4 linked regions of the Schizosaccharomyces pombe genome follow. The gene in region 4 interacts genetically with the main gene of each other region. Each region holds a gene or a part of one and is shown on either strand. Other genes may lie near its edges.

Region 1 (6,836 bases), on a different chromosome or scaffold from region 4:
GATGTCCTATCGATCCATTTCAAACGTTTGAAACGTTAGTCGATGTACTGGCTGAAGTGCTGGTGAATGTTTCTTCTGAAAGTAGAATTCAACTACGAGGCTCAAATGACGAGGGATCTTTAAAAATTTTCTGTACCTCAAAAATAGCTAAAGATATTTTCTTAGAATGGAATTGGACCCTTTGGCTTACTCCACCAGAGACGATTGCCAAGATGGTATGGTTTCCTCTTATCAATCATCACTTATTCGAGTCAGAAACCGACACTAGTCCAGGATCGTTAATGTCCATTATTCGTGATCAAAAGTCTTTATTGAATGACAAGACTTGGTTCAAGGAAGCATTAAATGAAAGATCCTCGTCTTCCAATCCTTCCACACCAAGAAAACGTTCAGCATTTGCAGATATTATTTCTCCAAAACGACCTCGTACTCGTTATGATTTTGTTTAAAAAAATCTAATGGTATATTGAACTATGAAGATATCTATTTAACTCGATCACATGTTTAACTACAGCGTTTTGTACAATTTACCTCAGGATGAAGAGACTATGAAAACGTATATACTAATCAGAAAGAGATGTCCGTTCTCTATTGGAGACACATAGAGGGTTTTCCATAGACTTTAAAAAAGTTTACAGAATTGGCCTCTATATGTACTATGACTTACGGTTTATTCTAGCAACACATTGTAACCCTACGGGAATGGAACTTCCGTAAAACACGGTACATTCTAACCCTTCTTCTTTGGATAAGAAGATGTAAAGTTATTAGAAGGTTGCAATAATATAAAATAAAGTTTCAAAGAGTTTTATGTAGCTTAACTCATCTCATATGATTATATTTGACAATATTATAGTTTTTCTTGTAAGGTCCATAAGATAGAACATTCATTTCATCCTTATAACAAATCAAAAATAAGTCCCAAGTTACGACACATCCCAAGGTTAGTTATTTACCCAAAGGAGAATTGTATGATAGTTGCTTTAAAGGCGTACATTTAAATAATATTCATAAGAAGCGTGACAATCCGAATTTTTTTCCCGTAACACTTCGGATTCTTATATATAAAGGAGAGGATCCAGAAAATCTTGGAACATAAAATAAGGAATAACATTTTAAAATCAATTTGACAAAAAGAAAAAGTAAAAAGGGTTCAATTCAACGCTCTTTTATACCTCTAATTTAACAAACGTCTCAGGAACAAGCCCGCTTCTTCCTGAGGCATCATCGTATGCAATCAACCAACCATCGCTGGATTCCGACAAAATACAAAGTCTCTGACCAGTAGTAAAACCGAGTTCATTATCATGGAGGGGCTCGAAATCATAAAGCGCAACGGCGTCAGCAAGGACGTTGAAAGAAGCAGAAGGGTGAGTGCTTTCAGATTCTTCAGCATCGTAAAATACTTCCGTATCATCTATTGATTCGGAGTCATCCGATCCTTCGATTGTTTCATCAAAGGTATCATCTACAAATCGCTCCTCCTCCTCTTCAATCACACGAGCATGAAACCCATAGTGCAGTTCATGATCTGGGGGGTACAAGTAATCACGACCCACAACTAAATAATCCTCTTCAGTCTCTTCCGCCATGAAGCAAAAATTGCTAGTGTCACATATAACGATTTAAATTAATCAAAAGAAATCATACGGATCAACGACAGCGTTAAATTTACACTATACTTAGCAAGTCCATAAAAAAACAGGTGTATTGGCGAAAAGTCAACAGATGAACAAATGCTCTCTTCAACGTTGAGTTTTTGTCTTCAAATGACTTTTGAAAAGGAAAAAAAGAAAACAAAACAAATAAAAACAAAAATAAAAGAACCAAAAAGAATGATAAAAAAAATCAAAGCGGAAAATAAAAAAAACGCGGTATTGACGGATAATGACAATTCTGCCTAAGAAATTTAGTTTTTCTCTAATCGGCTGCCTGCATATGATTATATGAATGTAGTTTTAACAGATTTGTACTTGTTAAAATGAAATTTCCATAAGGAAGAGTTTTCGCGTGACTGGGAAACGGATGGCTTGATATCACAAATTCCGGCTTAGCAGTCAATACCGCAAGAAGGCAAGTTAAATCCGTAAATAAACAATTTTGACAAAGAGCTGCCAGTTAATTGTAAAACATACGATGTAAAAACCTTTATTGTTGTATAAAAATAGTTCTTACCTTTGCGACCTGCTTTTCTTTATAACAGGAGCATAAGGTGCGCAATAAAAAACCCATTAATTTATAATCCCATTAAACTTTTAATAACTATTCACATAATGGTAAACTTTTTGCACTGAGATCCACCATATAGTAATTCATCGCCAATAGACCTGAGCAAAAAATATTGCACAAGAACAAAACATGATGTCAAATAACACTAAAGCATTCCCTAGGTAAAAGTATCGAAACAGATAATCGTAATGAAATGCCCTTAGTTACTTTAGTAAAACTGTCAAGAGATCATAAAACTGAACCAAACCAGAGGGCATAACTTTACGTGCCATCCTTTACCAATTCGTAAATCAAAAATTGATTATGTAGGTGCTTGCTAAATAGTTTGTACAGTCATTTGAGAGAGGAAAAAATTATAAGGAATAGAAGAATCCACACAACGTTCCATTTGGAACTCTCATCATTATCATTCAAGCCGCATAGAAAAATAGTCAAATCAATTGTGAAACATTGACAAAAGATCAGATTTGCTAGAACATATGTTTTTAAGAATAACCACGTAGAGCTATCGAAGATAATATAGAGGCCAAAGGATTCTCAAGCGTAGAGGGATCCAATTTGTAATTCTTTTTTAACACCTTGAAGTCTATTAATTTTTGTAACTCTTCGTCAGAAAATTCGACCCTATTACCTTCCACAAGTTTGTCCAAGCGCTCAAATTCTTCTTCTTCTGTAAGTTTGCTATCAATTTTTACCACTACAATGTTTTTAGATTTTTTTGTCATGCTGAATTGTCGGAACGCACTAGAAATTTCGGTTTTTGGGGACAATGACAAAATAACCTCTGAGTGAATCGTCTTAGTTTTCATTTGTTCGTCCCTTCTATCTTCGAGAGCCCTAATAATAGCGCTATAAACCTGCTTTTTATATAGAATAGTAGCGGCATCGAGAAACGCATAGTCATAAATGGGATTCTGGCTTATTAGTTGTTCATGAATCGCAGCACAGTTAGAAACATTTTCATATACAAAAACATGAACTTGTGTCTCTGGAAAAAGAGGTAAAATCATTTTGCCCGCCTGTTCTATAGCAATATCAAACTGCAATCCTTGTTAGCGTTTTTACATTTCTTAGGTAATAATCGTACTAATAACTTTTTGCCGGTAAACATCGGTAAAATACGGTGACTAAAACTCCGAACACTCCAGCTACTGACTTAGCGCCCAACTAAATTGTATAGTGAATTTGCTTTTTTTTTACTCAATTCATTATGGAGGGTATGCTATAAATAATTTTTTTTTTGAAAATATTAAGTTAACCGATATGTCAGAGACGGCGATTCGATCGCGCTTAACTGTGGAAGAACGGCCTTTGAAACGGTTGATTAGTCGGTGTCTTGGTTTTGCTGCTCAAAATGTAGACGAAGCAAACTTAAGGGATTTAGAAATTGAATTTTCTGCTCTCTCTGCTTTTTGGCTTCGATTGCAAATGCAATTAGACATGAATGCTAAAGAAGTGGATGTTTACGAAGGAGAACTGAAGAAGACTCGTATGTGATTAAATTCGTAACTTTAAGTACAGTGATGTTTTTATTAATATTTTCAGAAACATTTTGTGAAGCAGAAAAAACCGAAATAAGCCAGCTTGAGCAAGATTTACTAGTTGCCCAAGAAGAATTAAGAAAGCGTGAACAATACGACGAGTTGGCCAAGCCAATAATGTCAAAAGGATTGAGATCAAGAACAGAACAACAAGAGTAAGTTTCCAGATTTATATTGAATATTTTAGACTGACCGGGTTTACAGATCAATAGGAAAGTTGCAAGATGCTATTCGTGAGTTAGAAGAAGAAAACGCGAATTATGTAAAAGCATGGAATTTGAGAAAAGATATTTTTGATGAAACTTTAAAGCAAATGAACCACCTACAGTCTATATTGCATCCTCCTAGTAATCCCGAATCTGATTCAGAAGAAGGCATTGCTAGTGAAGGTGAAAATCCTTCGTCGTCAAGTTCGACTCAATACAAGGCCAAATAAATCCTAGGAGGAAAAAATTGTATATAATTTAAAAATTTTCGTGAATTTACGAATGATAGGAATGGTTTTTCCGTTTAGGATATGTTAAACAGTGAGCTTCACTGGACGGGCATAGCGATTTAGTCTTGATATGTCCTTTATTGTTTTGTATATAGTTCCGTTAGGTTCCCTTTTGGATATTTATAAGTATATCCAAATCTCCTAAAAGGTTTCTCGCTCCATTTTTATTCTCATTTTTCAATGGGTTATTTACTCAGAAAAAATCTCTGCTTAATTATTATTGTTTACTAATTGTTATTTCATCTATAACCAAATCTTTTGGCACAGAGAGTAAATATTTATTGTTACATTACCACTTTTGATAATTGATAACTGCGCTTTGAAACCATTGGGATTGTTTCTTTAGGAAAATGAAAATTTTTTATTTAAAAATAATTTTTTCAATGAATATATTTTCCAAACAATGTAGCAAAGTACGATCAACTTTGTATATCTTCTTTACCCATTTAGCTGAACATACCAACCGCCCCAATAGTAGTAGCGTGCCACCAGACAAATTTACTGCATAAAATTTTGTGTGCTTGCATTTTGAAGTTTATTACTGGGGAATTGATTATGAATCCGACGACTAAAAGGGCAATTAAAGAGATCGTTGTCTATGCCTTAGCATTTGGTTGCTCTTGGTACGCAGCACATAAACTTTTGTCTACTTTAGATCCGTATCGACAAAAAAGGCAGGATACAGTTTCCAAAAGCCGTAAGCGACTTGATGAGTGGGCTGGGGAACAAGTCAAGGAATTGGAGACTCTGGAATTAAATGAGTATGAGCAGATTGTTGCATCACAGCTCGTTCTACCCAGCGAAATCGATGTTTCCTTTGATGATATTGGAGGTATGGATGAACATGTTAATCAGCTTTTGCAAGATGTACTTTTTCCTTTAAAATACCCTGAAGTGTTTGACACCCATGGCGGACTTTTGTCGTGTCCAAAGGGTTTACTCTTGTACGGGCCTCCTGGATGTGGTAAAACAATGCTAGCTAAAGCATTAGCCAAGCAAAGTCAAGCTACATTTATAAATGTGAGTGTGGGCCTTTTAACAGACAAATGGTTCGGTGAATCAAACAAGCTTGTGGACGCATTATTCACACTAGCTCGTAAGCTTGAGCCTACTATAATATTTATCGATGAAATTGATACTTTCTTGCGGCAACGCCAAAGGACAGACCATGAAGCAATGGCTCAAATTAAAGCTGAATTTATGTCGATGTGGGATGGTTTATTGAGTGGTCAGTCACGGGTTCTTGTTTTGGGTGCTACTAATCGACCAGCTGACATCGACGAGGCCATTCGGCGTCGTATGCCTAAAGTATTCTCCATACCTCTTCCAAATGCCGAACAGCGTCGCAAGATTTTAGAACTTTATTTAAAAAAGGTACCGTTAGAAGCGAACTTTGATTGGAATGGAGTTGTTAATGCCACTGCTGGACTGTCTGGCTCATATATCAAGGAAGTCTGTAGATCTGCTTTATCAGTTCCACGCAGAGAGCTTTTTGACAAGCATGGAAATGATTTGGAAGCAATCAAATATGACATACAATCAGGCGGTTTGAGGTCTTTGAAGACGGAAGACTTTTATCATTATGAATCCTTACAAAATGTTTCCGGTATAGACGTCGAGTGAATTTATTAGAAAAAGTATTTATTGAATTTACGTCTCAGGGTTTATCATAATTTGAATTGTTTTATTATTCTACCGTTTAGTTTCCTTTTCTCTTAATATGTCAAGTCAACATATTGAGCGTTTGTACAACAGCCAATTTTAATTATTTTATTAAACGACTTCTGCCCATTGCACTTTCATCTTCAGTAGGTATCATATTCACAACGAACGGTCTTAGTAAATTTGTAAGATTGTAAAAACAAAAATGAAAAAATTGAAATCGTCTAAACTAAATGTACAATAAATTTAACTACCGAGCTTCTAGAGGAGCGATTTTACGTACCTACTTTACTGTCTACAAATCGAAATGAATACAAATACAACAATATGGTACAAAATGCATCACAAAAATAAATAACCGTGACAGTTCAAAAGAACATACATCTTATTTTTTTTAAAATGTTATTTAGTGTCTGTAACGGAAGGGACGCTCAGGGCGAGAGGCAGCGACAACGACAGTAGGGATAGAGTCGTAGCCAAGAGCTTTAAGCATATCCTTGGTGTCTTGATCAACGTTAATCTTGTCCTTCTCGAGCTCAGAGACTTCAGGAACGTATTGATCCTTGCGCTCACGCTCTTCTTCTTGAAGCTTGAAGGAAATACCACGGACAGGACCGCGTTGGATACGTTTCATAAGATGAGTCGTGTATCCAGCAATCTTGTTGCGGAGACGCTTGGAAGCAATGATAGCAACCTCATCGACAATCCTCTTATTGGTTTGGAAGTCCAATGTAAGACGAGGGTAGTATTTCTCGATAACTACGCGAGAAGCTCTCTTCGTAGTTTTGGTGCGTACACGACCCTATGTTTTGTCAGTAATTTCTATCCTCAAACCGGTTTCTTAACTATTCTATTGAAAGCCTTACCATTTCTGTTCCTGTGATGAGTTTACTACACTGAATTCTTGA
Region 2 (7,114 bases), on a different chromosome or scaffold from region 4:
GCTTTACCAGAGCTGGACAAGGATTTATTAAAATTCGTTTGGGTCGTGGATTTTCCTCTTTTCTCACCAACCGAAGAGAAAAATCAATCTATTACATCTACACATCACCCATTTACTGCTCCTCATTGGGATGATGTACATTTACTGGAAAAAAAGCCTCTTTCTGTTCGTGGACTTCATTATGATATAGTCGTGAATGGTATTGAATTAGGGGGTGGCAGTATTCGCATACACAATCCAGATATTCAAAGATTTGTGCTTAAAGACGTGCTTAAATTACCAGAGAATAGGTATGCTACATTTGAGCATTTAATACGCGTATTGTCTAGTGGCTGTCCACCGCATGGTGGAATTGCATTGGGTTTTGACAGGCTGGCTGCGCTGTTGACGAATGCTCCAGGAATTCGCGAGGTCATTGCTTTTCCGAAAACCTCTTCGGGTGCTGATCTTTTAATTGGCAGCCCGTCTGCTATTCCAGAAGAGATGTTGAAAGACTACAACGTTGCTATTACGCGACAAACTCAAAACCGTAATTAGATAACTTAAGCAAAAACATTAATCATTTAATTTTTTTTATACAAAATTTTAATCTAATGCTCATAAATGGGAACACGACCACGCAACCTCGCGGTCATAAATCGGCTCATTTTAGGTTTTTCATTTCCATTCTCATCCAAAGGTATAACTGCCTGTTCTTCTTCATCCTTAATATATTCACCTGTATTATCTATCATTTTTTTTCTCAGTTCGTAGTAACGTTGTGATATAGCTCGTTGATCACTAATTTCCTCGACTTTCGCATCGAATGCTTCTTTAGACTCGCTAATTTTGTCAGATGGAGTTCGTTCAACTACAAAATCTTTTACTACAGATGGTTCATTTAAATATTCCTTGGAAGTTTCCGAGCTTTTTTCTTTAGGCGGTGCTTTAAGCTCGGATTCTACAGTAGATTTGTCTTCTTCTTTTGGATTTAACTTTGTATTCGCAGCCCGATTATTTAATGTGTTACTCAAATCATCGTTCTTGATTGTACATGTGGCATTAGAATGGTTGCCCTCTTCGTTTTCCTTTGCGCGCAATTTGCTCCTTGCTTTACGAAACGCTGAAATACGACTCTGAAAATCGTCTGGTCCAAAAAGATTATCGTATTCTTCAGTTGGAGCAGGTATAACTTCAATATTCGCCTTTCCACTCCGACTGACGTGTTTAATTTCCAGCGTGTCTGAAAAATGTACCTTTCGAGGATTTTTTGACGAAAGCTCTTCTTGTTCAACGATTTGTGGAAAGTCACTGACATTTAGGCTCTCGTCATTACCATTGACATAAGTTGTAGCACCAGTCTTTTCTGTAAAATATTGAGGATCCGGTGGAGCTTTCAGTTCCTTGGAAAATCCTATCGTCATACCATGTTCATCTTCCTCAGACTCAGAATTATCATCTAATTCGCCTTCCTCCTCCATTTCCTGAATGAGAGCCTCCATATCTTCTAAAGAGTCTAAACCGTCGTATTGTACTGCTTCCAAAACATTTTGTCCTTGCGCAGTCGTCGGAACTGGTAGTAACATCGGTTCTTCTTCGACAATTTTATTGTCGGCATTATCTGGTTCTTCTATACTACTACTTCTAGTTTCGTTTATAGAATGAATAGATTCATTTCCTAGTGAAAGCTTTTCACTAGATGTAGCATGATCTTTGTTGCCAGATTTTTTTGTTTCTAGCTTAGCTTGTTTAAATTTTGAAAGACGCTTAGGTCGTTTTTTATGTTTAGACGTGCTAGTGTTATTATCTTTATTAGATTCCCCAGTATCTTGGGCCTTCGCTGTCGGATGCTCTAACACAATGTCTCGTAAAACTTCATTTTGGGTATCTTGATGTCCATTTTCATTTAAAGTAGAGTTATTGAGAGCATTCAATATCGTTTCTTTATTTTTTTCAATAGCAGAAGCGTTTGACTTTATATTTGAAGTAGTTCTGTTTTGCATTGCATTATTTTTTTTGAAAAGAAAACCCTTTTTAAACAAAGAAGTCTTGCTACCATTTTTAATTTGTTGAACCATATCTGAATCACTCAATGAAGCAGCCTGACTATTACTAATAGGACTCTCATATGTTTTACTGTCTGAATGATCACCATGTTTGCTGGGAAATTCTGAGACACCAAGTGTTGGAGTTGAAGTAAATTCAGTATTAGAAGGTAATGAGCCCATTTCTGGAGCTTTGTAGTTAATATTTTTCGTAGAATCGTTAATTTCTTCTTCAGATAGCTCTTCAATTCTCGAAGATGTATCACGGTTCCCCCCATTTTCAATATTTTTGAAACCAGGAAGGGATCGAAAGACATCCGCATAATCTATTACAGATGAAATTCTTTGTGGAGCAACAGAAGCACTTATAATATTTCCATCTTTATCAACTTCTTCATGAATATCCATAACAGGTAACCCTTCTGAGTTTCTTACTATCAACTCGGATTTCTTCTTTTCAATTGAAGATGCTAAGTCATTATTGTAATTTCCCAAAAGTAAATGAATATGATTTAAGACTGGATTTTCATTAGCAATTAGTCGTTTGATGAAGCAAACATTATCACTCAATTTATAAGAAAAAGTAACGTACAATCCACATGGGATGCTGTTTCACATCCTTCAACTTTTCCATCTTCCTTACAGTAACGGATCGCCCTACCGACTGATTCAGAAATTTCGCTAATCTTAGAGAAGATTTGCTGTTCAAAATTGATGGCTACTAGTCTTTCGTCGTTCATTCGATAAGTTGTTTTAAAGGATCTTAAATAGAGTTATTGAAGAATTTCTAATTCAAAATAATCTCACGCCAACGATCGTTTCGTGGTTATTCCGGAAAAAGGCATATACAGCTTATTCGGGCAAGCTAATATTCACTTTAAAAACGAGATAATAAGTAATTCTAATAAATTTTAAATACTTTTAGTATTTAAATAACAGGGTAACTAATATAATATCGAAAAATCGATGTTAATGGAAATGGCTCAAACTGAGTAGGAAGCCACCGACCTGACCCTAATGTACGTAGAAAGCGCCATACTGCAAATGTCCTAAGCATCTAGTAATTTGGTCCCTTACTTTAAATTTTAATATTTTCTCACTGAAAATAATTTAAGTAAAAGCAAATGCATGTCTTAATCCTATAGGTCCAACAGTTTAAGCAAGTATAAAACATAATTTGAACATTAATGGGGGACTATTTTGCCTGGGATTTTGCAAATATCTCTGGGAGTAATACTTCTGGCTCCTTAAATTTAAATCAGTTGAACTGTAAGCGCTAGCAATGATGGTTGAGTTATAAATCATTCTGAACATCCCAAGCGTAAAATAGCTAACGGATTTTTCTAGTGGACAACATAAATAATGGTTTGCATAATCAGGAGGATGGAGCTGGAGGAAGGAATGAAAATTCTGAAAGAGTTGGAAGCGGGAGTCCTGGAAGTGTTTCCATGCAGGTTTTGTCTCTCTTCAGTGCTGTAAACTCAGCTTTGGCTACTTTGGAAAAATCAGAGGAATTCCCTTCTGTAGTTAAGGATGAACAGTCAATTTTTCCTGCTGTAGCAAAGGCGTCTAATTCGTTGGACGAGCTGGCCCAAAACATAATTCCTGCTCCTTCTCCTCCTGGGTTTAATAGAAAAAGAAAAACCTTTGATGAAGACAGTTCTGTAGAGATGATCCGAAGAGCCATATCAGATCATTTGGATTTACTGAACAATTGTTGTATTGGCATTGCTAATTTGAATGAGGACAGTGTGCACAAAATTTCACTTACACGTTCAGGGAAACCTAGTCAGCTGGTAACAGTTTCGTGTCGACATTCCTCTGTCATACAAAAGTCTTATGGGTCAGAGAAACGTTACCTATGTCCACCCCCTATGGTTTATATTAATGGGAATTACTCTTCTATATTCAATCAGTCTTTTCGCACTGAGATATCAATAATGAATGATTTTGGGCAATGTTCGCAACCCATCAGCGAAGAATACACTGGCCAAGGATGTATGATTTTTCGGTCACTGCATATATCGAGTTTGGTCGCTGCGAAATCTAAAAACTTACGGCTTTCTCTGGACATGTTCTCGAATGTAAATAACCAATTGTTATCTCATTTGGTTACTTCTTCTATTAGTATTGTCTCCAAACCTTCGAAAAAAGGAAGCAAACTAAAAATTAGTAATATTACGTTGCGATCCGGTTCAGTCGTCAGCCTTTATAACCGGATTAATTCACAAACTGTACGTACAAAGTATACATCGATTGAGGCTGGTCAGTTTTGTCTTCGCGGTGATAGATGGGTGCCATTGCGTATTAACCTGCTATTACCAGATGAAAATGGTAAACTGAAGGTATGCGACGATGTCGATAACCCAGAACCCATTAAATATGGCTCCATCGTTGAATTGGTCGATGAAGCAACAGGAACGACGAGTGACCCTTTAATTATTCGACGAGTAGAAAAAGACCACATTGCTGAGGAGGACGGTTACGTTAATCAAATGCATAGAATTGTATTAGAAAGCGCATATCCCATATCAAACGTACGGCATCTTAAGATCGCTGAGCATAGTTCACTGGCATATTCCAATAATATTTCAGTCCGTTGGTTTCTTGGGGCCACGTCGGCACAAAACAGAAATGCATCTAGTGAGGCTATATTGCCCATAGAATGGGAAGCTGTTGGAAACTTGAGTTCAAATGAAATGACTCGAGTTGGAGATTCTGTATGCTGGACTATAGTGGGCATATCACATTTTGACTGTACGATGATGTTACCATTCAATCAAAATCCTGTACCAACGGTTACTGATTATCCATATATTGAAGAGCCACCCGAATATTTGGAGAGCTCGCGCTCATTACAATTTAAAATTGGAGGCTATTCGGTCGGATTACAAATTTGGCTAGGTGTTCATGGACCATTGTCGTATAGTTTTACCGCAGCTGCTGATACGAGTACAATGGGTACGGTCACTCTAGGTCTGTCGCAAATTTCATATGATCCTTCTTGTGCAGAACAAAAGTATCCTTTGTTGTTCGTGATTCCAGGTGGGATTGTCATTATTGGAAAATGCGAGATTTTGCTAACGTCAAGTGCTTTTGGAAACTGATGCATCATGATTAATTTTACGTGTGGTTTCATATGGCGAAATATTGAAATACAATTTGTTTTCAAAATGATGGAATTAGGTTGAAATCTCTCTTATTAAATGAACTTTATATTGTACAAACATCCTAGCTTATGGAAACTCTAACATATAGAAAGCAGCGGAAGCTTTTGATAAGATAATTGAATCGTCGAAAATATGTACTTAATAATTATGATTTTCAAAAGCTGCAAAACAGAAAAACTTTTAATAAACTAGTAAGGTGTCTGTCGAGAGCTGTCGATCATATATTATGTGGACCGTAATCGTTTCTCCTCGGGAGGAGTTGCTGTATCCACTTCCAAATTTAAATATCTTTTATCTGCTTCTCTTAAAATTTTACTATAGCAAATTCCTTCAACTTTTGAAATGCTGTTCTCCATTACTGATAATTTCTGCTGTAATTCTGACTTGACCTTAGATGGTAAGTGTTCAATTTCTGAGCAGTTTTTGTGTAGTCCACGAAGAAATTTAACTTGCTGAGTGAGTTGTTGGACAGAGAACTTAGAGCCGTTGGTTACAAGGAATCTCATTATTTCACCAGTCATGTCACAAACACCGAGTACATAGTCGATGAAATTAATAGAAATTCTAAAGCTACTATCTTTACAAGAAAGTAACGTACCTGTTTGTAACCAGAATTTGAAAGTGACAGCTTCAACATACTCTTGAAGGCCGTGTGTACAAGCAGAAGAGAACTTGTCTGCATTTAATCCAGCCAACTCTCTCTTCAGACTTTCTAGTTCTTTGTGAATTTTTTTTTCAAAAATGGATGTTCTGTCGAAATCCTTGGGTAGAGGAAATCCATCAGAAGAGGATGTTTGATGTAAAAGAAAGATCATTCGTTTACTTTGAATTGTGATTTCACGAGAAAGACGAATAATTTTCTCCCTCTTATCTTGATCCTCCTGTAAAAAATTTTTAAATGAGAGGAATTCCTCTTCCATATTTGGCAAATTCGGTTAAAGTTTTATAATATCCTCAATTCAGCAAAGCCGTGTGGAAGGTATAAATGTATAAGTCTATATTATCAATTGAATTAAATGCAAATCAAGATGACTATTTGTTGTTTAAGAGACGAAATATTGTTTAGTGGATCATTGAGTAAGGTTAGTTGGCTCTGTGCTATGAAATTGAAATAGTGATTTGAGCTGCAGCAGGACAATCGACCATGTATGGAATGAAGAGAAAATATTGTTAATAAAGATCGGTTAATAGGAATAATGAATTTTTTTGGTTATTTAAATTTACTGTGGACTAAAGCCATTTGCTTCTGACAATAAAATCTTGAACATGTGAAAATAATAAATATATAAAGAAAGAAATTTGAGCTTTGCTTGAACAATTCTGAAAATAACTACCCAAGTTTTTTGTCATTTCCACGTGTTATTTAGTTATATTTCTTAAAAAGAGTCCCGTCCTTTTTATATTTACAACATCATTAGTATTTAAAATAAATCTTAGCCTACTTAAAATCCAAGGCGCAAATGATTGTTTATCACAGCATAAATTCTTGCAATTAACGAAAGAGTGTACATTCATCAATCAATCATTTTACTAAATAACAATGCCGATGAAAACAGACTCAATACTGCTTAATTACTCAAATACATTACCAGGATTGCCCAGTTAAAGAGTATGTAGAGAAAGATATTATTCCTACTCAGCGTTGGCACAAAATTCATTGTGTTAAATGCTTTATTTACAAAGCTGTAATTGCTGATAAAAAGTGTCACAAACCGGGATCGAACCGATGACCAACAGATCTTCAGTCTGTCATGCTCCCAACTACACCATTGCGACTAGTTGTTATCCATAGTCATTATAGATCTAAATAAATTGTATTCTTAATAATGGTTTTATAATATATTTTTCAAATGCAGTATTGACAAATACATATCCTTGTCATTCACAGATTATACATTTGTAAATACTTCCTATGTACTT
Region 3 (8,125 bases), on a different chromosome or scaffold from region 4:
CCGTTGCTATCGCTCTCACCGCCAAAAATCAAGATCGCATTTCTGCTTTGATTCTTGAGAATACCTTTACTTCCATCAAGGACATGATTCCCACCGTCTTTCCCTACGGTGGCTCCATCATTAGTCGCTTTTGCACAGAAATATGGTCAAGTCAGGACGAGATTAGAAAAATTAAGAAATTGCCAGTGCTCTTTCTTTCTGGTGAAAAGGATGAAATCGTCCCTCCTCCTCAAATGGTCCTTTTGTTTGGTTTGTGCGGTAGTGCTAAGAAAAAGTTTCACAGCTTTCCAAAATGTACTCATAATGACACATGCCTCGGAGATGGTTATTTTCAAGTGATTGCTGACTTTCTCGCTGAAAATGATATCAACACACCTGCTTCTTAAGCTTTCTTTTTTTTTTTTTTGAAAACAAACTATTCTCCATTTCACCTTACATTTTTGGTTGCCAGCTTAAAGGTTCTTTTTTATTATTTTTTTCAATCGAAATTTTTTCCCTTTTCATTGGGGTTATCGAGGGCTTTTTTTCACTTGCATCCATTTTCTTTCTCGTTCTTCTTAGAATTGTCGTTTTTTTATAGTAGCCTTAGTTAGTATGTAAGTATTTGGGGTTTATAGGAATAGAATAGTACTGATAAGCAATTTTCCATTGCTTATATTTTTTTTCTTGATATTCGCTTTGTATTGTATCAACCGTTTCGTATATATATACCTACATAGAAATTAATAACTTTTGTCCTTTTTCTTAGATTCCTACTACTTTGTAAACAAACCATAATTCTTTCCATTTTTATTATTCATAAATAAAAAAAAAAACCCCCGTCAAAATGCTCACATAAATAATTTTGCTGTAACCATTGAAAACGGAACACTACTTTCCAATCAATCCTTTTTCATAAAAAGTTTATAAACATTTTCATTCACTATTCCACAGAGATGAAACGATATTAAAACCAAATACCCTAATAACAAAAATATATATCAATAATCAGACGTCAAATCCATTCATGGAAATAAACCCATTTAAAAAATATGGATCACTTTTACCACGATACTTTTTAGGAGTCCGTCTATTCTAAAAGTAATTCACCAGAAAAGATAGTACGGGTAAAACATATCGTCAAGTATCAATTAACAAGATGATCTCTTTTTTTCATGTTAAATTTTGATTTTTCTCAATCCACCACATCCACCAAACGCTCTACTCTAATTTTATGATTCGCAACACTCAAAATGGGGATACCTGGAATCTTGCGAATCCTTTGCTTCAGATTTTTATCATTGGTAGCAACTAAATAGCATTTGTGCTGCATCACACGTTGAACGATACAGTCATCGGCATACGTGCCTTTGTGAGTGCAAGGAAGACGTTCAAATCGTTCATCTTTGGCAATTCGAAGTGCAATACGATAGCGAATTCCCAATTTTTCCAATTCAGCCATTACACAGTCAGAAATACAAGGAATGGTCTTAGCGTACAGACAGGTCATGAGTCCTTCAAAAAGATCAATCTTTTGCTGAAGACAAAAGTTGATAAAGTTTGTATCAATGATAACATGGTAGGGAGGTCCTAGACTCTCATTGAACTGAAAGAAAAGGTTGGAAGCCATTTGTGGACTTGAGGGGTTAGCATCAAAAATCAATAAAGTGCTTATAAAAAAATTTACTTACATTTCTCGAACTAATTCTCCATTCTTTGTAGTTTTCTCTTTCTCTTTTTTCTGATCTTTCTTTTGCAATCGTTGATCCTTAAGGTTTATGACTCGCTTTACCTGAGCAAATTTGCGTGTAGTTTTTGCTTTACCCATTGAAAATAATTAACGGAAGAGAAAGAAGAAGTGATTTAATTTACAAGTTTCGCATTCAACGTCCAAAGCTCTAAATACCCTTTCAATTGGAAGTGCCCAAAAAAATTATTAGTTGTTCAAAGAGGGAAGCAGGCTGCTGGATGAGACTGAAGGACAATGAAGTTCAATGCATTCTTAAAACTTCCATAATGTAAAATAGTGTATCACAATGGAAGCATAACGTATTTTTAATCCAACTGATCGTTAAAAAAATAAATAGGTATATTTATATAACGATACGAAAAAATACATAATACAACTTTACGCGACATACTTTCTTGTATATTACATTGCCCAAATTATTTCTTTCAATTAACTTATTGTGGTTCAAGGGTAGAAGAGACGGTGAACCGCCCAGACATATGTAGTACGTATTTTAATATGAATTACTTTATTCACTAAAACTTCATGATACATTCTGCTAAATAGTGCTTTCCCTGCGTACCCTACAAACGGTATAGCTTATAACGAATACCAGCGTGCTATTTTAAATGATATAAGTTTTGTAAAAATGGATGAACCTTTGCATTCAACTTTTTCACACATCAGCAATGGCAAAATCAGCACGTTCAAAAAGCATTCGTCGCAATAAAAAAGTGGTATGTTGTATAGTATAGACAAATGAAGGGATTGAATGTCTTTTTTTTTGGTTTCGGAAACGGTTTATGTACAATGGAACCGTCTTTAAAACAATTGCCCTTCTCATACCTCTTTATCGATTATCTAACAAAGTAATAGCTTAGAGAAAACGTTTTTCAACCCGTAATTGATGAGCGGACTAAGCGTTTGTCTGCGCACTTACGTGACCAGGTCAATGACCTTACAAAGTCATCCTCTAGCAAAGAAGAGGGAATCGCCGATAATTCCTTGAAAGAAGTCAGCAGTTCAGAAGTATCCGATAACGTTGGTATGGAAGTTGATCAGCCTAAAGTCTCTACTTCTGGTCCTCGTGACAACAATCGCAACAAATGGGCAAAGAAACATTTAAAGAAAGGAAAGCGTGCCAAGAACAGTAACTTTTCGAAATTTTTGAAGAAAAAGTAAATTTAAGTTCACCATTTAATATATAAACTCCGAGATCTTTTTAAGAACTAATTATCAATCTTTTTTCTCAGATTTTTTTCCTTGGGATAATTTTATTTTCAAATTTCTGGTTTTCAACTGGAGACGTTGACCGTGTTGCATAAGGATTTTGTTTGCTTTTGGGGGGTTTGGATTATTTTATATTATTCTTTATAAAAACATATTTTTTTCCAATAATGAATATTTTGTTTCAAAGACTTACTTTTTTTCACGATGAAGTTTCTATATTGTTGGAATAAGTCAATTTTTTAATTTTATTTTTTATATTTATTGTAATTAAGTACGATGTAACTAATAACGTCTCTCTGTCTCAAAAACTGCACTTTTAAATCGTGCTTTTTGCTTTGTTTACCACATGAAATAGAATTAGTAATGCTCTTGGTTGTAAAACCTGATTTTTACAGAAATGTAATAAAGTATGAATATCTAAATATTAAATTAATTTTATTTGCGTATTTTTTATCGCTTAAAATATAATTTTAGTTATTGTTTGTTTACAAAAGTGCACATGGTTATGATATGCCTTCACACATACATTCCAATATTGTTCTACCACATAAACAAATAGATTGACATTCCATCTGATTTGAACCATCTGCATTCAAAATCGCAATGGAAGAAAAGGAGAACGTAAACTTGGTGGAAAAAAGCAATTATGTTGCACTAGAGGTATGCTCTACTTTGATTACCAGAAGATGTTTGTAACGTTTCTAACCCTCAATAAACAGAACACACGAGAAATAGATGTTTTTGATGAATTCCTTAATGCAATTGGAAATGAAAACACCATTACACCGGTTTACGCCGATAGCTCATTAACTCATTTGCGCAAAAAATCGTATGTAACATAATAAATTTAACAAATTACCTATGTCACAAAGGTTCAGAGAATCCTTTGGATTATTAACGGGGTTTCTCGAAAGAAAAAAAAACATCGTCTGAACCTTTGCAGCAGTTTTGCTTTTATGCTAACTAACTTATTTTGCATGCAGCTATACTAAAGTAGTTCATGACTGTACATATGCTCTAGTCATCAATCCGTATGATAAAAAAGTGATATGGAGGAGAGGACTAGCTTATTTGCGACTTGGACATCCTCACTTAGCCAATCGTGATTGGGAGCATTCACTTGAACTGGACCCAAACAATACATACATCCAAAAATCTCTTCATAGATTAAAGGAAGTGTATTACATTTACAGAGAATGTGCAGAAACATGGCAGTTAAGACACCTTAGAGTTGCTTCTTCTCAGCAATTACCTGTAGGATTGCGAAAACAATACCCTAATATAATTCGTGGCAAGATCTGGTGGAAGAAAGTGCACGACAATTGCCAATTGTGTGGACAGCAATGCGAACTGAAAAAGGAGAATCTTTCAGCAATGCGGTCTATGCTTTACATGGCAAATACTTATGCAAAGGATGATACCGAAAATCACTCGCCCAGCGCCCAAATCGGAATAGAAAGCTCGGAGGACGAATTAGAAAATAAAATAACTAAGGGAGAACACTCTCTATTGGTCCCAGAGGAACTGTACAGATCCAATTACCCATGCCCTCAAAACATAGATCAGTTTCTTTATATGATAAAAGTCCTATCTGCCCCCTGTTTGTACATTGAAACGTTTTCATTTCCTATTTCCACAATTAATCAATTGTTCAAAGCTCATGGAATGTCGGTTGAGCAGTTAAATTTATTCTTAAAATCAATACACTATATCGGATTGTGTTCAAGGTTTTGCAAGCAATGGTCCGACAAGGCACGATCGCTGATGCAAGCGTTGAGTGGGCTGCCGTGGTTCAGTTTTGTCGTGCAACATTGTTTACATATAACGGCAGCTCAAATTCTTTTGCATATTCCTGACATCCAAGAAGAAGAATTCAGAAACTGGCATGTTTCCAAAAAACCCATCAACAATACTGATCTCTCTTCTGAATTTGAAATTGCAGAGATCCCAATCAATTGCTACACATGATAACATTGATGACAATAAATTTTTGTATGTTAAGTCAGTCCAGAAACCATCGATGCAATCATTTGGAGTAGAAGGCATTAATAACCGTGTGTAGTTTATGAATAACACATTCATTGTATATCAACCTCTTATTTTCAGTGCTGAAATAATCATTATCAACCACATGAAGCTATATATTTGTGGGCAAAGTAGAAATGTTTGCCATTTTGTTTACCGCCGGATACACCAAGCAATGAAGACAGTCATCGACCCAATACACAAGTATTGTCCGTCAAATGTTAAGTGTAATTGTTAAAGAAATTGAACAAAATGAAAGAGACAAAAAAACTTTCAAGACAGTTTTGTGTTGCACACCAATACTGCCGTTTCTCATACTCTGAGTATATGCCATGAATCGCATATTCACGATTTAATCAAAATAAAAAAGATATCCAAAATATCTACATCTCTGTTACTAAATTGCTTGTTTATTTATAACAAAGCCATTTCACAGATACACAGCCAACGTGGTAAAGCAACCCTTTTCTCATAATCGCTACAACAGCAAAAAAATATATGTCTAATGCAGGTTTTTCAATTTTCTATTATCTCTATTAACTAAACGTTCATTTCATACAATTTTATCGGTATGGCAAGGTTATGGTAGTCTACAAGTTGAAAACCGCAGAATGAATCGGCTATTATATGCTTACGATGAGGATGACGTATTCCATATGTTTGTGTTACGCTGCACACACTATGACGGTTTCCCAATACTCTTCTTTTGACCTTAGCTCTTTACATAAATTCCAGTAAAAAAGCGAAGAAAGCCGTTTTTTTGTGTTTGTTGAAAAACGATACGTTGGTCCTTTTGGTGTTTATGTTTTTGTGCTTGTATTAGAATAATAGATTGTATAGAGGCTTGTCATCGTAAAATTGTTTCAAAGGCGAACGCCAATTTTAACATTAGAGCTTGCAATTCTTTAAACGAAGCACCATTACTATTCTCTTCCTTTTTTTTGTATTGTTTTTCTTTTATTTTTTACTCTTTAGGGTGGATTTAAAGTTGGGCACCCCTGTAGGAGTATTCTAAATTTGTTGTTGTGAGAGTAGTTTATCAGGTGGATTTATATTCTTTTCGCTTTTCTTCCTAAGATCTTTAGTATCCTTATTTCCTCCCCTTTCTTTGTGAGTATATCGTATAGGAACAGTTACGTTACTGTTGTATGAATATTAGACGGAATACTGGTTCAATTTCTAAAGATGGATTCTGGGTCAAGAGTAAACGTCAACATTCAAGGGACTCGAGTTCTCAAAAACAAGCTGGGAAAAATTCCTGACATCGACATATCTACAGATGGAAAGTACTTATTATCTGCATCAACGAATGATGTTCTGTTAGTTTGGGATTTGCACACTTCCAACAAAGTTGCGTTCTTTGAAGCACCAAGCGTATGGATTATGACTTGTGCATTCTCACCCTCCACTAAGAGCATAGCAGCTGGAGGGCTGAACAACTTTTGCGTAGTATACGATACCAGTGTTCCAGATGCGGATCCGGTCGAATTGGTTGGGCATGCAGGATTTGTTTCGTGCTGTAAGTATGTCGATGACGGTCATTTGCTTACGGGTTCTGGCGATAAAACTTGCATGTTTTGGGACATAGAGCAGGCAAAAGCCATTAGCGTTTTGAAAGGTCATGAAATGGATATTGTCTCTCTAGATTTCCTACCCTCAAATCCCAATTTATTTGTTACCGGAGGCTGTGACAAATTAGCCAAGCTCTGGGACCTTCGGGCTGCTTATTGTTGTGCCACATTTCCCGGAAATACATCGGATATTAATTCCATTTCCTTTTTTCCTTCTAACGCTGATTTTGTTACGGGTGCAGAGGATGGTATCGCTCGGTGCTTTGACATTCGTGCTTCTGCTGAGATATTCCAGTATTCATCTCCATCATCCTCCCCCATTAATTCAGTCTTATTTTCCAAGTCTGGAAAACTTCTTTTTATCGCAAAAGATAAAACATGCGAGGTTTGGGATTCCATCTCAAGCAAAACCATCACATCATTAACAGGCCATGAAAATCGAATTAGCTCTTTAGCTTTAACTTCTGATGGAACAATGTTGGCAACTGGCTCTTGGGACGAATGTGTTCGTCTCTGGTCTTCGTCAGGGTAAATTAATGATTTTTTTTCTCCTTTTTTTTTTGTCTTTGGAAATGATGATGTTTGTTTTGTTTTTTTTTCTTATACATTTACGTTTTCGATTCTAGGAGGTTGACTGCTTCATGTCCCACTGGTTTATTATTTTTCTTAATTTTTTATACGTTTATGCGTGGTTTCGTGATGCTTTACTGATAATGTATTCATAAACCCTTGTGTACTAATTCCCTATTTTTTTCGTTACGTTTCTCTTTTATTTCTAAACAAAAATATACCTTTTCGAAAATTTCGCCTTGCAAAGGTTGGCGCTTTTTTATTACTATTTAATTATTGCGATTTTGTAAACGTTTAATCCTAACGATTACCCTTTAGTCTTTTTTTCTTAAAGGTATTTTTCTTCTTACGTATGATAATAAACTTTTTTATAAATGTTGTCTTGCTGTTTTTTAAAACTTATTTTTATGAAAGAACAACCCAAATATTAAATTCTTTTATTAAATAAAATTCTATGTATGTATACTACGAATTGAAAGAAACTGTAAATAGCTATAATACAAAGAGCGTAAAGTACCCGTATTCGCTCTTATTCATCTAAAAATCCCCCCATCACCGATGCCCACTCGTTAATACAAGAACCTGGCTTAGTTTCATAATCGGGTATGTTGAAGGGGCAATCACAATTACAACCATATTCTTGACCACAGTGTTGAATTGTGGAATGTTGATACCCAAGGTCTCTAAAGTAATGGACTTGAGATCGATTAAGGAGAAGACCCACTGCTAGCGAATGCACCGGAGCATCGCCCCACTAAAATAAGTTAGTAATCAGAGATAGGAAAAAAGTATGAAGAAGATTGCACTTCGAAGAACACAATGCTTTTTTTTTTTTGAATAAACTGTAAAAACATACCCTTTCAGTCCAAAATCCTCCAGCATTTTCCAATGCGTCGACATATTCATTATACTCTTTACTATTGTAAAAGTCTAAGCGTGCAATTTCGAAGTTACTCCAAAAATGGCATAGATTATAAATCTGGCCATCAATTCGGTTTAAAGGGGGCTCCGGTAAAACGTA
Region 4 (9,548 bases):
CCAATGGCTATCTCGATTATCTGAACTCTCCTAAAACTAGGAATCTAGTATATAAATACTCGAAAAACCATGTAAGTTGAACAAATACTCTGTTTTCAATTTGCATACGCGATTTTGGTAGTTGATACGACGTCGCGATTATTCCGCTCTTCAACATTTCCATCCACCGAGTGTAAACACACGTCCCATAAACCACGTTTCCGCAGTCTAACGTCTCCTCGGTAAAAACAAAGAGAAGAAGATGTTGAAGAATAGTTCATTTCTCTATGAAACTTCTCATTTTACATATTTTAGAAGGTAATAAAACTGTCAAGGAGTTTTTAATGAGTCTTGCTAAGAAACCATTTTGAAAAAAAAAAATCATCTACTAAGACAATGAGTTGAGATAAACGGCAGGTGCAATGTGTCAGTAGTTAGCTAATGTATGGTGTTAGTGAGTGTGCGCAAGCAATCGAAAACGTCAATAACGGACTCGCAACTCTAAAGAATTAACAACCTTTAGCATTGGACTGTAGGGTTTAAACAGCTTTACAAGGAGAGGGATCTGTTTTCATGAGTTCCACAGTGATATGAGACTTGAATAGGCTTGTCAACTATAGAGAAATGTATATGCAAGGAAACCAGCATAAATGACAAAGTCTTTACTGTTTTATGACTTACTAAATATACCTCATGGAGAATTGAATCCAAATAATGAAGCAATGTTCTATCGTTCTAGTAGAATTTTACATTTCGAAGAGGCATTTGTGATAAACGAAACTAATAATATAAACCAATTTATTCCTAAACAACCATTTTTCAAACTGTTAGACTGTTGTATCTTGTACAAGCTCCAAACTGAAGATAGGTTCGTTTACAAGTATGTATACACGAAAATCCATTATTAACCATATTAATCTGCACGTAGCATGCAAGTCCAAAGAAGTAACCAAACGAGAAGAGAAGCCGAAACCAAATGCCAACTTTAGATATGCAAGATAAATTTTAAAAAACACGTTTTCGAAGTGTCTAAAGAGTTCGAAAGTGTAAGAAAACCACTCCCCAAAAATGTCTTCTCTTCTACTATTTTGTAAATTTGAAAGGAATAAAACAATAAAATAAAATAAAATAAAAGAACGAAGCGGGACGCAACCAACGGAAGATCGAGAGTTACATTTTTGTAGGAAGAAGAGTGTTTAGTCCATTTGCATGGCTGAAGATGAGTTTCGAGATTTCTTGTTTTTGCGTTTTTTGGCGAGGACGGGAATCTTGACAGGTTCTGCAACTTCTTCTTCCATGGTATACTCCTCGTCGGAAACAATTTGGGGTTCTTGTACCTCAGCAGTTTCAACCTCACCTTCGGGTTCGGTAAATTGAGGAACATTTTGAGCAATGAGTTTTTGAGCTTCTTGAAGCTCTTGGGCACGTTTGCCAGCCAATCTCTTTTTGTAAAACAGACGCTCTCTCTTGGCATGAACTTGGCTAACCCGTTTCATGGCATTCAAAGTAGTTGCAATGACATTACGGTCGTAACGAACAGGAACATTTCTACGAGCTGCGGTAACTGCGAGAGCTGTGTCATAAACCATTTCCTTTCCATGTGCCTTACGGTACGCTTTGGTCCAAGCAACCTAGACATTGAAGTTAGTATACATACATATAGGTGGAAGCAAAACATTTAAAAAAACAATAGAAAACTTTCTTCGTTCATGGGCATATAAAGGAAAAAGTACACCATTTAAGGTAGAATTTGAAGAAGAAAAGTATCATTTCAAAACAAGGCAACAGAAAAAAATTTTTCCTCTTTCAAAATCAATCATCTTCCTCAACCAAGTCTGTATAACGTTTTTGCATTCCTTTATTATAAAAAAAACATACCTTACGAGGATTGCGCTTCATTTTGAAGTTCTTATGGCACTTGCTGCGACAGAAACGAAAGACCTTGGAGTCATTTCTAACAAACATTATTCCATGTCCTGGGTAAACAGGACCCGAGCAGAAATAGCAAGTATGTACCCTAAATTTCCGTTAGTAATAAATACTTTGAAGGCATTTAGCTCTACAAACCTCATATTCCCCCTAAATTCTTTCCCGTCCTTGTATGTTCAAGTTGGCTAAGAGCAGGTAAAAATTCGCGCTCCCTACAACGCACATATTTGAGATGCGAGCTTCTACTTAAGCTGCGTTTTGCGAATTCCAAATATGCCTTATCTAATTTATGATATATCGTTAGGTTGCGTTATTTAATGAAATACCATCTCGGTGAAGTTTCGAGTGAATGGTCTCGGACGCAATCTTAGGAACCTATTAATAATAAATTTTATCTTCAATTTTTGTTAACTCATATCGCTTCTTTATCAAAGGCGTGTCTACGCCAAAAAAAATAAATACATAATATTACCGAGGTTAATTGCTTTTAAAAACACAATCCCTCTATGCATATGCAGTTTACTGGATTGCAATAGGATACATAGACGCACGATCTTAAAAGGTATTTTACAGTATTCACGATATTTGAGCTTTTGAAAAAACGATCCCGCCAGGAGTCGAACCTGGAATCTCTTGATCCGTAGTCAAGCGCCTTAACCATTGGGCCACGAGACCTTGTTATCATTACAAATAAAATATACTATTTATTATACAAGTGTGTTTTACTTAGTCAAATTGAATAAGTCTAGTATTACAAAACAAGAAGAGTCTTTAGTTTTCAAGTGATTTTTGAGAAAATGTAATTGTTTTTTTTTTTTTCCTTTTTTTATTAAATTTTATCTATTTTTCGTACTTACCGATATTTTTTACTTCGTTTTAAATTTTTTAGTTTAGTTATTTACCTTTTCTCCATCAAGACCATACATGATAACAATATTATGTGTACCATAAGTTAAAGAATATTTATTATAATTACTTTTTTTAATAAAATGAATGTACAGGTTATTTTTTTACATATTTAGTTTTTATAAACATTATATCGAATATTTGTGGCAAAGACCCACAAGACAAATGAATGAAGAGAATCACAAGTAAAATAAAAATCGATAAACTGGTTTCCAAAACCATAGTTAAAAAATTTTTATGTCATTATCGTTATATCTAAAACAAATTATCGTATACGACAGTATCCAAATACATCTTCATCTGAAGATCTATTACAAAACGACCCTCAAGGAGGGCATCAATAATACTGCTATTGTACTTTGTCTTTTCTTTTTTTTAAATTCCTTTGCGTTTAAAAGAATATGTCTTTAACTAGATTCTAACATACACCATTATACATTCGTAAAACTGAACTTCAACCTAACTGAATAAACGTCTATCCAGCAAAAGAGAAAAATAAAAAAAAAATAAGGAGAGGAACAAAATCGAAGACATTACAATTGGAGATAGAATAGCCTTAAGCAAGATGACAATTACTTAGTAAAGCAAAATACCTTACTACTAATGTCAGCCAATTCAACGAATTTTGGAATTGTGTAATTACCACTGTACACAATTAAGTCATAGTTCGGAACCAAAAAAACTAAGCACAATTTGTTCCAAAATTAGTTGATTCAACGCCATACAAGCCCAACATTACACCAAAAAAGCCTGGTGAACGTAGATTAAAATATAGAAATAATAGATCCTTTGATCATTAAGTATTCCCTTAATATGCACCGAAAAAAAATGAACTTCACCCGAACCTGCTTCCACATAAACAGGCATCTTAATAACAATCCTAAAAAATCATTCTTAGAAGGGAAATAAAAAAAAATTAAAACGATACGCTTCAATGATTAAGCGCTGATTAAATTAAAACATTATTTACCTGTCCTTCAAAATACATGTTGAAATTTTGCTGGACAACTAGTAAATAAGAAAATAGTACAACGATTGAAAGCGTGTACAAAAAGATACTCTCGGGTTCAGGGATCCAGCCTAGAAAAAATATGGGCATAAGATTCTCAATGCAGTGATACATTCGTGGAGACCAAACGTATTATGGATCTATTTGTCCCATAAATACCTCATCGTTCGCACGATTTAAGTCCATATCGGAATTGTCCTTAGAATAATCATCTTGACTGGAAATACTAGAAGCAGAATCATTTGAGTTGTGGTATCCGAATGCTTCATCCATAGCACTTGCGTCAATATAGGTAAAACCCTTAAACCCATTTTGGACAGTTGATGATAAAGGTGCAGAGGTCGACATTTCATCTGTGCTACTAAAGTCTCTATCGATTGCTTTATTTGTAAACTCGACATCAAAATTAGAAACATCTATTTCACCTTCCACTATTGGTTTAAATGGTGGACTAATTTCTTTCGCAGCGAGTTTCTTCCAATCAATTCCATCAAAAAATGGATGCTTCATTACCTCTTCAACATCCCCATGTGCACCAAGCCTATGCTTTGGATTACGATTCAATAATAGCTTAATCAAATCTCTGGCTTCTACAGATAGCAACCCTCTAGGAAAACGGACTTTACCAAACACGATATTCTTGTAAAGTTGTTGTGTGTTATCAGCGTAGAAAGGGCTCCAGCCACATGTCATCTCGTACAAAAGTACCCCTAAAGACCAGAAGTCAACCATCATATCATACCCTGCTTCGTCTAAAATAACCTCAGGAGCTAGATAATCCGTGGTACCGCAAAACGTACGTGTAGTAGTCCCCACTGAAAGATTGGCCTTTGACAAACCGAAATCACATAAGGCAATATGTCCTTGAACGTCCAAAAGAATGTTTTCAGGTTTCAAATCCCGATATACAATTCCTCGTTTATGCAACGCTTGCAAAGCAAGCAACAATTCGGCAATATAGAATTTTGCCCTTTCTTCTGGAAATCGTACCGATTTTTGAAGGTGCCAAAATAATTCGCCTCCAGCCATATAATCTGTCACCAAATATAAATCTTTGGGGGTCTGAAAAGAGAAACGTAAAGCAACGATGAAGGGCGAATCAGCTGCAGAAGTTTGGACGAGAATGTCTCTTTCCCCAACAGTGTGTGCAACTTCTTTGCGACGGACTATTACTTTTTTGGAAAGTACTTTCATTGCGTATACGCGCTCGGTGTCTTTTTTACGAACAAGATAGACTTGACCAAATGTACCTTTTCCAATTAATTTCAACGGAACGAAGTCATCAGGGCCGTAGGAGTGTTGACTGAGAGGCTGGAAAACAGTATTGAGAGAAAGACGAAGATCAACCATACGGTTGTATGCGGGAGAAACTTCAACGCTGTTGCAAAACTGTTCAAATTGACCATAATTATAAGACGGGTGAATGTAAGTTCTCCCAACAAATTCATTATTATTACCATGGTCATAAATATTAACATCGATGGGGACCGGTTTAGCAACATCAAATACAACATAAGATGGAGTTAAGGGATTTGGAATTGAAGACGTACGTTGAATTGCAGGAGTAGGAATGGGATGAGAGCTCATCATAGATGAACTCCTACTCACATTAGCAGAATCCCGACTAGATGTGCCTATATCACGGCCAGGTGATTCCCATTTCAATGGAGGTGAAACAAACTCCGTCGTACCAAATTGAACAACAACAAACAACTGATTAAGTCTTGAGCATTCCATGGCTAATGCTGCATCAGTATGAGGTCCTCCCAAAACTAATGAACCTATTTGAAGTTTCAAATAGCCTGAAGGTTCATGGTCAACTTCAGGTAATATATCATTACTATTTCTGTTACCAACCGTAGACTGGTCACTGGCGAATTCTTCCATGGGATGGTCTATCGAGGAAGGACCTAAATTTGAAACTGAAGGAAGTGAACCACCTTCACCTTCCTCAACTGGTTGATTGGTTTGGATGCTTGCCAAAGGACTTCGGGGAAGTGACCCTTTAGCAGAATTGGTGGAAACCGATTTTTTAGACAGCCCGAACCAATTTTTTGCCCACTTATTCATCATTTTATAATCACTCAAAAAACCAATTTATGTACGATTATTGTAAAAGAAAATACGAACACAAAATGTCACTGTTGGATTAATTGCTTGTAGATGCAAAAAGGGATTTTCTTTCTTTCAAGCAAGAAGAGGTATGAAAATGAATTCAAAAGGTACTTGTTTGACTGATATAATCACGACTTAATACCTGCATAAAATTTAATGATGTAAAGTCTCAAGTAATAATTCACCTCAGTTGGATATAATCCTGATAAGAAAAACTATTAATCAACACTAAAATTTTCCTACCAAATTTCTTTGTTATATCACGAATACTGTAATCAATATGAAGATACCCCATTAACCAATGTCAACTACAATATTGTGCAAAGAAACAACCCCTAGTAGAAGAAGGAACAAAGGATTATAACACAAAATTATAAATGAAAAGAAAAAAATTCCAAGTTCTAATATACAATTACTGTTTGCGCCTAATTTTTCAATTTGATGGTAAAGGGTAAATTGAAGTGGGTTGCAGTACCTAATCTTACTTTAAAATTTGGTATGTCAATATACGGAAGTGCGAAAGGATTCTTTAACCCGGATTTAACTACGCCAAATTGTTTGCTAACTTAGAAATGCAGTTAATTTAGACAGTATGCTTTAATAGTATATTATAATTGCAAGGGTTTCTAGTGGGTATGATAAATCATATAGATCACATAAAATATTTTTAATGCATTAATATAGCTAATCTAGCTAACAAAAAAATTACCAAATTTACGAACCATGGTGAATGTGGTGATTTTAATACAATATTGAAAGTTAAAAAAGCCAACCAGCAGTATGGTTCAAGTGTGGAAGCTCCGTAGCTGTATTCGAAAAAAATGAAAAGAGAAAACGAATAGCCACTTACTAGTAAATTCCGTTCGTAATATTTTGAAACAGATCATAAAGTCTCGTCCAAACACTACAATTTGCCTTTTGAATCAACAAATCCACAAAGTCATCACATTCTTTGTCACCAAGCTGTAGTTGAAAACGTTGCAAAAGTTGTGCACTTGTGTTTTCACCAGCACGAAAGCAAGGCATTGTGGAATTATTTTGCATAACTTCAACAAGCAAAATGATCTGATCAGCGTTTTTTCGAACAGATTTAAACGCAGCTTTCATCAAGGAACGATATTCATCAAACCGGTCGTCAAGGATTTCTAAATAATCCGCCGTAAGCTTAAATGGAGCGCTTTCAAAGCCAACATTCCCCGGTGTATTCGTAAGTAAAAAGCCAAAATCAATATGTATAATATGACCTTCACTATCAATAAGAACGTTACCATTATGTCTATCCTTTAACTGTAGTAAGTATGATATAATGCTATATGCCACTAATGATTGAAGGAAATTTGTCTGTGCCTGTCGATACCGGCTGCTGTTGGGATCACCAAACTGCTTTATAAAATAATCCTTCAATGTAACAACATTTTTACCAGCAATTTTTCCTTGGGCTAGTTCAGCTTCCCGAAGCTGTTTCGTCAAATTCTTTTTAATAGAGTGAACACTAATGGCATTTGTAATCGTTTCTATTAAGCCACTATTGTCGCCGGTCACTAAAATTTTCATCCTTCGAACCCAAACCTTTTCTTTACACTCTAGCCAAACACGCTGAAACGCGTATATAAGTTGACAGGCAAATGTCTCTTGCCGGAGATCCGCACCCGTTTTAACAATCACACTGACCAAATCCCAATTGGGATAATGACCATAAGGAGAAGACTTTCTTATCCTTTCCTTCTTGGCATACCAATCTTCTTGGAATGTAGCGGCACTGGGATCATCTCTATCACCTTTCCGTTCTGCCTTTTGAGTTTCTTTGCCAAATCGCAGATCTTCTGCGCATGATATGTCGACTGAAACAGGATAAATGGATGGTTCATTAAGGCGCTCTTCTTCGAGTCTTTGCATGTCAAGAATAATGCTATTTTTTATTCGTTCAGTCTCAGCTTTGGGACGTCTGCTACCTTCAGCATCAAGCTGACTTAGCATAGTTGCCGCAGCTCGCATTCTCGCTGTTATTTCTGAAGCATAGATTTTACTTCTTTTTAAGGCGCCATTTCCATCAGAATCAGAGTGGCGCCCAGATAACAGGACGACATCGGTATCTCTATGAGAGGACGGTACCTGCAAAGATACATTACCAAACGAAGAGAATGACTTACTCAAAGAAAGAGTGTCCGGTACCAACCCTTTTATCAGAGGAGACATACTTAAATCCCCTCCCTCACTTTCCGACTCTGAAATATCATTGTCGGTACTGTCTTGAAGGTTCGTATAAGGATCGACATCTGTGAGGTCAAACCACCTTTTTCTTTGGTTTTTATGAGAGACAATCTTTTGCACCTTAGCCTTATTTTTCTTCGATTGTGGCTCGAAGCTGAGTTCACCAGATAGGACCTCAACCATAATAAGATAAGGTACTCGTTCGGCAGAATTGAGTATGGTAGCCTCTTTAGGATCAATGCGAACGATTTTATGACTCACTTCTTTATGATATGATCGTAAAAGCGGTATGTTCACATCGGCTGGAAGGTTGTTATTTAAAAGAGCAAGTTCGGCGCGTAATGAAGAAAGGCGAGCTTGTCTAGGTACAATGATGAGACGGATAGATATATCTTGTAAAGCAAAAAGAAATTGAATTTCTTGTTGAAAATAATTAGAGCGTAGAACACGACGCTGTTCGTCAATAGATAATGTAGCTGATGATTGATATGAATGGGTGCGGGTTAGTTCTGGAGCTTTTAGTCTAAGGGATACTTCGGAATGTTGCTCGACAATAGAGTTGTTCAAAGACGAACGTAATACGTCCAGAGAATATCGAGGTTCGGTGGAAAGACGGCGTAAAACATCAACATCTGATTCATCTGGATCTTGCCTAGGGGCTTTACGGCCTTGAGCAATTGCAATGGGGCCAGCTTTTTTTAGTAGTTCAGGCACACAAACACCACCTAGCATGATGCCTGAAAGGATTAGGGCAGGGGTTACATTTTCGGAGATTTTTTGTTGGGACTGTATTAACGATGATGATGACATGAAAACCAAAATCTGAATACGATTGTAAAGTCGTTTACATATTTTAAAACAAGAAGAATGCGGCTGTAAACCTAGATCCACCATATGGGCTTGCAAATACCAAAATGTAATGAGTGCGCATTGTGTATTTTGTTCACATTGAGAAATGATAAATTCTTCTAAAGCAACGCTTTCAGAATCTTTGTTAAGGACGAGATGACTACAGTATGATATTAGAGATGCACGAACACAACGGAATAAACGTTTGAAGGAAAGAAAATCAAAAGGTAAGAGAGTCATTAAATTATGAAATAGGCATATGAGTCATATACTCGGCTTTCACTGACTTATGAGCTCGACTTTTTGGTACTTTCCTTCCCCCCAAAAATTTTTCTTTATTTATCGAAATAAACGTACATTAATTGAGGAATAAAAAATTCTATCTCTTCATAAGGAAATCTAATATGTGTTAGACATAAAAAACAAAGAAATGATACGGTAGACATACGTTGCTAGTTTTTCGCAAAGAAAGTGATGAATGCCAATATTGTTAGGATAGCGTGAAAGATATGCAACACAAAGTTGACTCGTGAAATGGGCAGACTCAAAG

The links.
Region 1: mutations in sck2 (region 4) and cgi121 together harm fitness more than expected from each alone (negative genetic interaction), as found in Schizosaccharomyces pombe (2 studies listed by BioGRID).
Region 2: mutations in sck2 (region 4) and uri1 together harm fitness less than expected from each alone (positive genetic interaction), as found in Schizosaccharomyces pombe (2 studies listed by BioGRID).
Region 3: mutations in sck2 (region 4) and git5 together harm fitness more than expected from each alone (negative genetic interaction), as found in Schizosaccharomyces pombe (2 studies listed by BioGRID).

Annotation. Positions count from the first base shown.
Region 1 is NC_003421.2:917,825-924,660, reverse strand, and holds cgi121 (EKC/KEOPS complex subunit Cgi121), read right to left. Parts: upstream 3,284-6,836; 5' UTR 3,240-3,283; coding exon 2,715-3,239; downstream 1-2,714. Other genes in the region: XRCC4-like factor xlf1, read left to right, coding at 1-449; skb5 (Shk1 kinase-binding protein 5), read right to left, coding at 1,170-1,592; THO complex subunit Tho7, read left to right, coding at 3,440-3,446, 3,500-3,718, 3,775-3,925, 3,975-4,206; yta4 (ATPase Msp1), read left to right, coding at 4,822-5,889; rps1702 (40S ribosomal protein eS17), read right to left, coding at 6,335-6,730, 6,795-6,797. UniProt on the Schizosaccharomyces pombe protein: Component of the EKC/KEOPS complex that is required for the formation of a threonylcarbamoyl group on adenosine at position 37 (t(6)A37) in tRNAs that read codons beginning with adenine.
Region 2 is NC_003421.2:324,331-331,444, forward strand, and holds uri1 (prefoldin-like protein), read right to left. Parts: upstream 2,765-7,114; coding exon 2,617-2,764; intron 2,543-2,616; coding exon 591-2,542; 3' UTR 538-590; downstream 1-537. Other genes in the region: dar2 (aspartate--tRNA (Asp) ligase), read left to right, coding at 1-537; DNA-binding transcription factor, CBF1/Su(H)/LAG-1 family Cbf11, read left to right, coding at 3,212-3,293, 3,372-5,131; tfx1 (translin family protein), read right to left, coding at 5,419-6,114.
Region 3 is NC_003423.3:1,458,178-1,466,302, forward strand, and holds git5 (heterotrimeric G protein beta (WD repeat) subunit Git5), read left to right. Parts: upstream 1-5,671; 5' UTR 5,672-6,148; coding exon 6,149-7,066; 3' UTR 7,067-7,568; downstream 7,569-8,125. Other genes in the region: bem46 (palmitoyl-(protein) hydrolase), read left to right, coding at 1-386; rRNA endonuclease Utp24, read right to left, coding at 1,175-1,616, 1,671-1,807; ribosome biogenesis protein Llp1, read left to right, coding at 2,398-2,445, 2,585-2,890; mug93 (TPR repeat-containing protein), read left to right, coding at 3,542-3,598, 3,658-3,767, 3,922-4,906; putative alpha-1,2-mannosyltransferase Omh5, read right to left, coding at 7,634-7,858, 7,961-8,125. UniProt on the Schizosaccharomyces pombe protein: Beta subunit of the heterotrimeric guanine nucleotide-binding protein (G protein) involved in glucose-induced cAMP signaling.
Region 4 is NC_003424.3:5,042,622-5,052,169, forward strand, and holds sck2 (serine/threonine protein kinase S6K family Sck2), read right to left. Parts: upstream 6,392-9,548; 5' UTR 5,897-6,391; coding exon 3,956-5,896; 3' UTR 2,995-3,955; downstream 1-2,994. Other genes in the region: ribosome biogenesis protein rlp24, read right to left, coding at 1,176-1,610, 1,858-1,996, 2,047-2,051; Golgi-specific 1-phosphatidylinositol 4-kinase, type III-beta Pik1, read right to left, coding at 6,788-9,158, 9,356-9,397, 9,447-9,548. UniProt on the Schizosaccharomyces pombe protein: Protein kinase that is part of growth control pathway which is at least partially redundant with the cAMP pathway.